2 linked regions of the Caenorhabditis elegans genome follow. The protein of the gene in region 2 purifies or fractionates together with the protein of the main gene of each other region. This does not show direct contact. Each region holds a gene or a part of one and is shown on either strand. Other genes may lie near its edges. The genes, in order: trp-4 and sql-1.

Region 1 (5,162 bases), on a different chromosome or scaffold from region 2:
TTTAGTTTTCAGTAAATTGTCTTATGTCTCGGTTAGTATTGAAGATATCGATTTACCGTAAATTACAAGTTTGTAGACAATTTAAATTTACATATTTTGTTAATTGCCAATTTATTGATAAAACAATTGAAAACTGAGATATGAACCGATAAAGTTAAGTAGTGTGCTTCCGGTCGATGCACCATGTTTGATATCTTCTCTTTGGCAAATGGTATCTTGGTTTAAATTAAAGATATCAAAAAGTTTTTAACTACAATGTTAACAAAAATTTAATGATAAATGTTTTGTCAGTTGAAAGCTTTCTTATAAAACCAACGGCAATTGAGATATGAGCCTATAAAGTTAAGTGGTGTATTACCAGTCGATGCACTATGTTTTTTATGCTTACTTTGGCGCATGATATCTCGGTTAAAATCAAAGATATCAAAAAGATTTTAACTACAAAGTTATAGTAAATGTAAAAATACATATTTTACCAGTTGACAACTTTTTGAAAACACCACAAACAACTGAGAGATAAGCTTTCGAAGTTGTTTCAAAAAATGATCAAAAAATTTTTTTTCGACAAAATTTTTTTTTTTAATTTTTAATTTTTATTACTGATTGTGTGGGTTGCTGTATCAAAGGAAATTCCAAATTTAATATTTTTAATTTCATGAGAAATAATTAGTGTACTTTGTAATGTGACCTAACTTCCTGCAATTCTGGATTCCCGACCCCTAACAATTTCCAAATATCCTCTCTAATGTTCCATTTAAAGTAATATACTACTTTCTCTTCTTCTCATTCTTTGTGTGTAGCTATGTCTTGAAGCAATTATTCATGTACCTCTGTCCCCCCAGGTTGCTCTCGTATCCGTTTTTCAAAGAAATACACGGCCTGAGATTTCCGGACCTTTTTTCTTTTTTTTTGTGTATGTGTTGCCAATACCCAAAAAATGTGTATATTAAGAGATACGATGTTTGGTGTGGTCATGTGTACTTATACTACTCTTTTGGGAGGTCTTATGAACCCAAAGATACTGGAAAAAAGGAAATTGAGCACTTTTTTCTGGAAGCGAGTAGGTATTGTGTTTTTTGGGGATTAGTAATCGGTTTTGGTGCAAGTGCAGAAAATTTGAATTTGACACTAAAAAAAAGAGAAGATTTCAAGCTTTGGAGCAAAAATGAGTACTGCTCACGAAAACCGACACAACTTTGGAGCCCTGGTACCCTCAAATAATTTAAATATGTTTTCTGGAAAAGGACATTTTCTGCATGTTTTTGATAACTTTATAAAAAAAATCTACATCATTTTTAAGCTAGAAATTTAGGGTTTTTGCTGTAAATTTTGAATTTCCACTAAAAATTCGAAAATTACGGTTATTTTTTTTGGAATTTAAGGGAGCAATGAACATTTTTATGTGTATTTTCTTATGGACAATAGTTTGATTAACACAATTGTTGAGTTTCAGCAAATTTGATGGGAAAAAACATTTTGGCCAAAAATTCCAAATTTCCAAAAAAAAAATTTTTTTTCGGAATTCTTCAAACTCACTAAATAAGTATAAGACAACATTTTGAGAATATTTTTGAAAAAAAAATGACAAAAATTTCGCCTAAAAATTCGATCGAAGTTCTGCAATAAATTTTGATTTTCCACTGAAAATTAGGAAAAGTACAGCTGATTTTTTAGGAGTTTAAGAGAACAATGTACATTTTTATGTGTAATTTCTTATGAGCAATAGTTTAATTAACAAAGTAAGCGACTTTTAACAAAAATTTTGTAAAATGTTTTTTTTCTTATGGACAATAGTTTAGAGGAGTTTCAAAATTGGGAATTTTTGCTATAAATTGGCTATTTTTGCCACTTTTTCGTAGGTTTTGACGGGTTAAACCTAGTTTTTCTGAATTCTGCATATATGAATTACCCGTTTTCAACAAATTTAGACAACTTTTATTTTTGCCCATTTTCATTTTTCAGCCATCTAATGACTGTCCTTTTTTGTTTTGGGCCAAAAAAAAATGTTTTTTTCGAATATGTATAAAACCATCAAATTCTAAAAAAGGACAATGTTTTAGCAAAATTTTTGGATAAAAAATTTTGGACCAGAAATTTCAAATTTTATTTTCGAAAAAAAATTTGAATTTTCTTCAGAACCATCTGAAACTCACTAAACATGCTCTTAACTATAATTTCAGTAATAAAATACAAGCTTAGTACACCCCTGAAAAACACAAAGAATCTCATAAATTTCAGTGCAAAATCGAAAATTTTGGGTAAAAACTTTTCGGTAAAAATTTCTCAAAAACCAAACCCAAGATGTCTCTGAAAATTCACCAAAAACTATTTTCAGTGATCATGATTGATATTAGTAATTAAAAAATTTTGAATATTCACTCCTTGTGAGTGCAAAATACCATAGAACTTTGTGTTTCTAAAATTTCTACGGGGAAGTGGTACAGTCGAACAAACCTCCCCAAAAACTAGTCGAAAACCCCAGGAATTTGGATTAAAAATTGATTTTGAATATTCAAAACTCTAGATAATCTGAAAAAGGGCAAATTTTTAAGTGTTTACAGATCAAATTTTAGTCCTCTAACTGCAAAATTGCCCATTTTAGAGGAGTTTCAAAATTGTGAATTTTTGCCATAAATTGGCCATTTTTGCCACTTTCTAATGGTTTTTAACGGGTTAAACCAAGATTTTCTGAATTCTCCATATATGCTTTACCCGTTTTCAACACTTTTAACTTTCTAGTAGTGTCTAAGATTTTTTTTTGGAAAAAAAATTTTGCTCGAAAAAATTTTTTTTTCAAGAAACAAAAAATTGTTTTTTTATTATTTTCATATCAAACTTAGGCAAACCTGAGTCCTCCTGGATCCACCGTAATCCCTGTTCATCTGCCGTACGGGTACCTGATCCATATCAACATCATTTTCTTGCCTAGTCGATTGTGATGCTTCTCGTAAAGCTCTTCCCAGGATTCCGCCACGTGGCGAATCCATAACCGGGGTAATGTATAATGCTATTAATAGTAGTAGTATTATTAAGATATGATGATTTATTTTGAGGAGCCGAGGAATTTTGCTGAAAATTGGAGATTTTGAAGAGGCTGGGGGAAAAGATTTAAAAAAATGAAAAAAAAAGAATTGCGAAATACTATAGTAAAAAAGTTTTTAATGGTTTCTATGGAAACATTGATTTTTTTTAGGAAATAGGTATAAATTTAAAAAGGATCTACTGTGAGGATACTGTAGGATTACTGTAGTCTAGGAGATGGATGTAATTTTAAAACAAAGAATTCTTAATTACTGTGAGAAAATTTTGCAAAATATACGAAAATTCAAACTCCCCAAAATTTGAAAAATAATTGCTGTTGCATTTCCAGGCAAAATTTAAAAAAAAATTAAATTTGAATATCCGCCAAAATGTTTCTGAGACAATTTGAACTTCCCGCCAAAAAATTTTTCTCATAAAATTCCAGTTTCCCGGCAAAAATTTTTAGAAACAAAATTTTGAATTCCCGCCAAGAAATTATAAGAGAACATTTTAATTTCCCGGGGTATCAACTATTCAGACTCCGCCCCACAAAAGGGGCGTGGGGTGTGTGACGTCACACAACTTGTGACGTCAAAGACTACAAACTACAAACAGACACATTTTTCTAGGTCGGCAAAAAAAAACTTAAAGCAAGAATATTCTTAAAATTATATATTTTAACTAGTTTTTTGAGAAAATTTTAATTTCCGGCGACTTATTAGGCTCCGCCCACAAAAAGGCATAAAACACTAAAGTAATCTTTTTAAAAAAATGTTCTCAGAAAATTCGAATTTCCCGCCAAAATTATTTTACTGAAAAATTAGAATTTTTGGCTCCGCTCCTATTTAGGCTCCGCCCACAAAAAAAAAACATAAAAAACTAAAGTTATCATTTAGAAAACTTTTTTCAGAAAATTCGAATTTTCGCAAAAATATTTTACTGAAAAATTTGGATGTTAGGCTCCGCACCTAATTGGGATCCGCCCACAAAAAGGCATAAAACACTAAAGTTATCTTTTAAACAATTTCTCAGAAAATTTGAATTTCCGCAAAAATGTTTTACTGAAAAATTTGAATTTTACAAGGGAAGTCGAAAAACTGAACCCCGGACTTTGGCATGACATAGTATTTTTTTGATAAAAGAGTGAAAATAATGATCCCTCCAAAAAATTTAGCTGCCCCGGTCCAGGTTTAGCAAAGTTATGACGTTTTGAAAGTGCCGAAAAAAATTCCTTGACCCTAGCAAAACCCTAGCAAAAAAAACTCAAATTTTCAAAAAAAATTTTTTTTCCAAAAATTGATAAAAACTATTGTAACTTATCCAAAAATGTAAAAAACATATATCATGCACATTTTTTCTTCCCACGGACAAAAAACCACATTGCTTGATCTACATATCTTGAGCAAAATTCCAAAAATTACTTTTTCTTGTAGGTTAATTTATGGGTTTTCTTGAGAGTTATGAGCTAAAACTTTCATGGCATATGTTTTTCACTGAGTTCAATTATTTGCAAATATTTTTTCCACTTTTCAGAAAAAAAGTTTTTTTTTTGAAATTTTAAAAATTTTTTTAAAAAGGTTGTCTAGCCACTTTCAAAACGTCATAACTTTGCTGAACCTGGACCGGGGCAGCTAAATTTTTTGGAGAGATCATTATTTTCACTCTTTTATCGAAAAATTACTATGGCATGTCAAAGTCCGGGGTTCAGTTTTTCGACTTCCCTTGTTAGGCTCCGCCCACAAAAAAGTATGAAACACTAAAGTTTTTTGAAAAAAAAAAATTCTCAGAAAATTGAATTCCCGCCAAACAGTTTTATCAGGAAAATTTGAATTTTAGTCTCCGCCCCTAAGTAGGCTCCGCCCACAAAAAGGCTTCTATAAAAAGAATAATAAATCTCCAAAAAAAAGTGATTTTTTCCAACTTTAGTGGTGGTGGTGAATGTGATGTCGGCAGAGCACGGACCCTCTCAAAAGTAATAGAGGTGAGGAGGGGTTGTGTAGAAGAGAGAGACAGACCAGGTGCACACCCTAAAATGACCATTTCCGGTCAGCAGAAGCTCTCTGGAGCAAGGCGAGGGGGGAATAGCAAAAAATACATATACTTTTTCTTTTTCTATGAAAATGTTATAGAACTGGAGGTAG
Region 2 (5,189 bases):
CATTTTTTTTCGAAAATTCTCGATTTTTTATACAAAAATGATGTAACCATGTGCAAACTATTTTTACACATACAAAACATTTGAGTATGAAATTTGGATCTCGAGAAATACTCCAAAAACTCGAAAATTTTTCGAAAAAGCTGTGTTTTCTGTTATTGGTTTAGTGTGACGCAATAAATTGAAATGTTTTGTATGTGTAAAAATAGTTTGCACATGGTTACATCATTTTTGTATAAAAAATCGAGAATTTTCGAAAAAAAATTTTTTGAAGATTTCTTGACGACCGACAAAAAAAATTTTTTTGGACGGATTTTTTTCCAAACTTTTTTTTTGTTTTCTTACATTGTGTTTTAAACAAAGCAAAATCCGCACACAAACCTCAATTGAAACCTGAAAAGAACCGAGATCAGAAAAATGCCTGAAAAAATTGGCTCCGAGTTAGGGCACTTGGGGTGGTCAAAAACTTTTGTGACTATTGTCAAATGAAAGATCATGGTTGATAACATAAATTCCCACAGTTTCATAAAAATCGATACACAGCGAACAAAGTTATGATTTTTGACCCGGAACTTATTTGGAGACCTAATAAAAAAAATACAAACGACCAATTTTGCCACCAGAGACGCCACGCTTGTGATAACCGTGTGTATGGGATGAATATTTTTAAAATCTATTTTTTTAAATCAAATTTTCACAATGATTTTCCGGATTTTTAAATATTTATTTTACATTGAAATTTGAAATTCTTGTGACTTTTCTAAAAAAATAAATTTTTTTTCTTTTCATTAGCAAAATTTATCGCCTAAATTTTGAATTTTTTACACTAGGTAGCCAATAAACTTTCGGATTAAAAAAAATTAATATAAAATCAGGGAATTTTTTTTTTTGAATTTTTTCACATCGATATTCAGAATCCGGAGAATAATTAGGGTATAAATATAGAAAAATTCCGTTAATTTTGACAATTTTTTTTTTTTAATTTTTTCACATCGATATTCAGAATCCGGAGAATAATTAGGGTATAAATATAGAAAAATTCCGTTAATTTTGACAATTTTTTTTAAAATTTTTTTTTTCAACCGAAAAGCGAAAATAATTTGTTTTTTGTTTTTTTTTTGGCCTAAAAATCACAAAATCACAAAAAAAAAACAATTTTTTAATTTAAAAAAGAGCATTTTTCAGCCAAATTCACAATTTCTTCTCGATGATTTTTCTCTCTTTTTCCGCCGCCAAAATTCCATCCTCACCTGCATTGCGGCAATCTTTTCCTCATACATTTCTCTCATTTCAAGTACATTTTCAGCGTGTGACTCGACAAGTGACTGAATTTCGTGCTCTTTCTGTTGCCGGAGAGCTTCGATTCGTTTTTCTAACTCTGATAATTTGATCATTTCTTCTTCTTCTTTTTCACCGCCGCCGCCGCCGTCTCCAGATTTCTCTTCAGCAAGTGATTTCCAGTGTGAAACTTGCTTTTTGAGCTCACAAATCTGATCAATATCTGATGTAGACTCATTCCAGCCGGATTCTTGGAGTTGCTCCATTTGGGTCTGCAAAAATTGTTGGGGATTTTTTAACAAAAAAGCAGCGTCGCCGCACAGAAAAATAGGCGGAGCCTAATTCGCAAGCCTGCGGCACGATTTTTTTTTCAAATTACGGTTTTATTGTTAGAAAAAGAATCAATTTTCAAAAATCAGTGAAAAACCCGTGCCGCAGAGTTGCGAAATTAGGCTCCGCCTTTTTTCTGTGCGGCGCCGCTTTTTTTTGCAAAATTAACGGGAAAATATGAGAAAATTATTTTAAAAATTGAAAACTACATTTTGAATCGATAGGCACTTTTTAAGCTTAGAAAATGAATTTTTCGGAATTTTTTAACGAAAAAGCAGCGTCGCCGCACAGAAAAATAGGCGGAGCTTAATTTTGCAAGCTTGCGGCGCGGTTTTTCCTCATTTTTATTGATTTTTTTCGAACTTCGTTTTTATTGCTAGAAAAAATATAAATGTTTAAAAAAATGTTTAAAAATCAGTGGAAAGCCCGTGCCGCAGAATTGCAAAATTAGGCTCCACCTTTTTTCTGTGCGGCGCCGCTTTTATTTGCAAAATTAACGGAAAAAAATGAGAAAAAAATGATTTTAAAAATTAAAAACAGCAATTTTGAATCAAAAATTAATGTAGAAACATGGAAAATATGTATTTTCGTTGAAAAATTTCGAAAATTACCTCAAAAAGTGGCCTGAACGATGCCGTTTGCAGAATAAAAGTACTTTTAGTCACTTTTTAAGGGAATTCTCGAATTTTTCATTAATTTTCAACTCTAAAAGCTGGCTGCAAGACGGAAAAATAAGTTTTATTGGCCAAAATTTTTAAATATAAGAAAAAAAGAGCTTCTTTTTCGATTTTTTGCGCCAAAATTTATCAATTTTCGCTATTTTTTGGGCAATTTGGAGCTAAAAAAAATACTTTTTTCTCCAAAATTTTTCAATTTTAACTATTTTTCTTCAATATTCGATTTTTTCGGGTAATTTGTTTCCAATTTTAGCTATTTTTTGGGTAATTTTGTGCAAAAAAACGCGAAATTTTCCATTTTTTCAGGTGCACCTTCAACTTTTTAATCTCATCATCTCTCTGCTTAACCATTCCGTTGAATTTCGCCCCAATCGCGTCCATTTCGACATGAGCATCATACAGCTGCTGCTCCAAATGGCTCTTTTCGTTTCCAAGAAGTTCGACACGCGAAGTTTCGATTGCAAGTTGCTTTTCGGCTTCAGCTGCCTTTTTTTTAGCTACCTGGAAGTTTTTTTTGGTTTAAAAAATTGATTTTTTATTTAAAATTCGAGTTTTTTAACTGAATTTTTCCAATTTTTAACAATTTTAACTTAAAATTAATAATTCTCACAATAATCTCTCCATCAGGATCTTGAACTTCTTCTGTGGCCTCTGCCAACACATCATTCGCCTCATTTAGCACTTCATTTGCCAAATCTGTTAATTGTCCTTGAATATTTCGTAACCATCCGCTCATTACTGGAAAAAAGCAACGTTTTTTTCTCAAAAATCAATAAAATCAAGGGATAAATATCGCATTAAAAGTGGATCTTTTCTTCAGGTTTCTCTCCTATCGCGTGTCGTGTGTGAAAACACGTGAATTGACGCGCAATTGCACACTCTAACAATATTCACAAAAGTTTCAGAACATATTTCTAAATAAATACCAGAGGCCAAATCTTGTCGTTTTTTTTTAATTTAAAAAATTCATTGAAAAGGAAATGGCCTCATGGAGCACCATTGAGTTAAAATGTTCACGTTGAGGAAGAAACCTCAACGTTAACATATTCCTAGGAAAAAATCGGGAAAAATTATTTAAAAAATTCCGAGGGTAATTATTTAAAAAATTCCGAGGGTAACAACAAAAAGAATACGGTGACTTAGGGCCACAACTCAGTGAAAAAGGGGTAAAACCATGCGAAATACATTTTACAACAAAAATCAGGAACGAAAAATTGAAAACAAAAGAACAAAAATAAAATGAACGTTTTAAACATTCCAGGGGCGATCAGTCGGCTTAACGGAACCCGTTCGTAGAGCTGCCATGCGCTCCTACAAAAATTATAATTAAAACAAAACATATTGGCTTTCTTTTAAAAACATACTTGATGTGGACGAGTTCATGCGAGATCCGCCAAAAAATGGACGATTGCCTGGGGACGCTGGTCGGGTCCAGTGGTCCATATTTCTCTCGCTTTCCGCCCACAAATTGCGATGAAGTTGAGCCATTTCCAAAGATTTGGTTAATGCAACTTGCTTGCGAACTTCACGTTCATGTCGTGCAGAGTTACGAGATCCATTGATTTCATTTGGTTTATAACGGTATTCTGCAAGAAATCAGAATTATTTACGAAATAATCGATAATTTAGTATCATTTTCCTACCAGTTGGCGGCCAGCGTTCCATAGATGTTTTGTCTGGAATGATGACCAGAGGCTGAATGATTTCCGATTTCTTTAAATCCTGAGTGCATCTTGGTCCAGTGTCCTCATATTTTTCTGTTGGAATGACCTCAATGAGCGAAGAAGCGATACGGTCGTGGTCCGATTCCGACGAGCTTGGAGCGAAAACCTGGAAATATAGAAATTCAGAAATGGCCGATTTTCAGAAATTAATTTTATTGAAAAATCAAAAAAAAATTACCTCCAAAATCTTCGCACAAATCTCTCTGATACGCTGTGGGCCGGCTTTTGCGATCTCGAAGTTCTCCTCAAACGCCTTCTTCATAACTTTCTCCAGCTGTTCCGTGGATTCAAACGTGACTGAGCTGTGACACATGAGCTCGTTGGCGCACGAGACGTCGAACACTCCCATCGTGATGATATAATCGAGGTATTCCGTGAGAACTTCGAGTGGATCTTCAAAAACTGAGATGTTTTGATCAGTTTCCAGTGGGATTTCCTCGAATATCTCTGCGACCAACGCGGATTTACAGCTTTTCTCATCTTCTACAGTTTCTGCTGACATTGGGCTCAGATTCAGCTCATTCATCTTCAAATTATCAACAGCGGTGCCTGATTTATCGCCAATCGATATCGCCGTCTTCACTGAAGATTGAGATGATGGAGACGAGCATCGTTCTGCGTCTCCTTTATTGTCCGATTGACCAAAAATTCCGCTTCTTTCGTCGAATGTCTCCTCAATTGCTCCATTGACTGCTTTGTAGATCGCTGATGGAATGCGTCGCTTCTCAACTTCCAGTGACTTGAACCACGTTGAACATGCGAATTCTACGGGCCACGGGAATTTTCTCAAAACCTCAGAAGTCAAGTAGCTCTTCGCTTCATCATCGAATGGCTGCTTCATGGATTGACCAATCGCCTTGAGAATCATTTTACAGTTTTCAATGACTGTATTCGAAACGTTCGCGTCATCAATAGTGTTGAGCAAGAAACAAATGATCGAGGGAGTCAAGAGAACTTTGTCAGCTGGCTTAGATCTCGCCGACGTGGCATACTCCAAATTATCGAAGTTTTCGACAATTTTTGCAGCAATCTCGCTCAAAACCTCCACCGATATCATGGGAATTCTGTTCTCTGTGTAGAGTTCGCAAAGCACCACATCCAGAAGTGCCCATGCGGACATCAACGCGGGTTCCTTTCCTGAGCATATGACTCTTGCGAGTTGTTCCAAATTGCGCCACTCTTC

Evidence for each region.
Region 1: the proteins of sql-1 (region 2) and trp-4 fractionate together in Caenorhabditis elegans (co-fractionation; one large-scale study listed by BioGRID). This does not show direct contact.

The regions. Positions count from the first base shown.
Region 1 is NC_003279.8:13,896,994-13,902,155, reverse strand, and holds the start of trp-4 (Ion transport domain-containing protein), read right to left. Parts: upstream 3,072-5,162; 5' UTR 2,988-3,071; coding exon 2,847-2,987; intron 1-2,846.
Region 2 is NC_003281.10:12,497,392-12,502,580, reverse strand, and holds the start of sql-1 (GRIP domain-containing protein), read right to left. Parts: upstream 3,025-5,189; 5' UTR 3,019-3,024; coding exon 2,893-3,018; intron 2,784-2,892; coding exon 2,595-2,783; intron 1,548-2,594; coding exon 1,248-1,547; intron 1-1,247. Other genes in the region: herd-1 (Edg1 TPR repeats region domain-containing protein), read right to left, coding at 3,559-3,593, 3,647-3,868, 3,926-4,112, 4,185-5,189.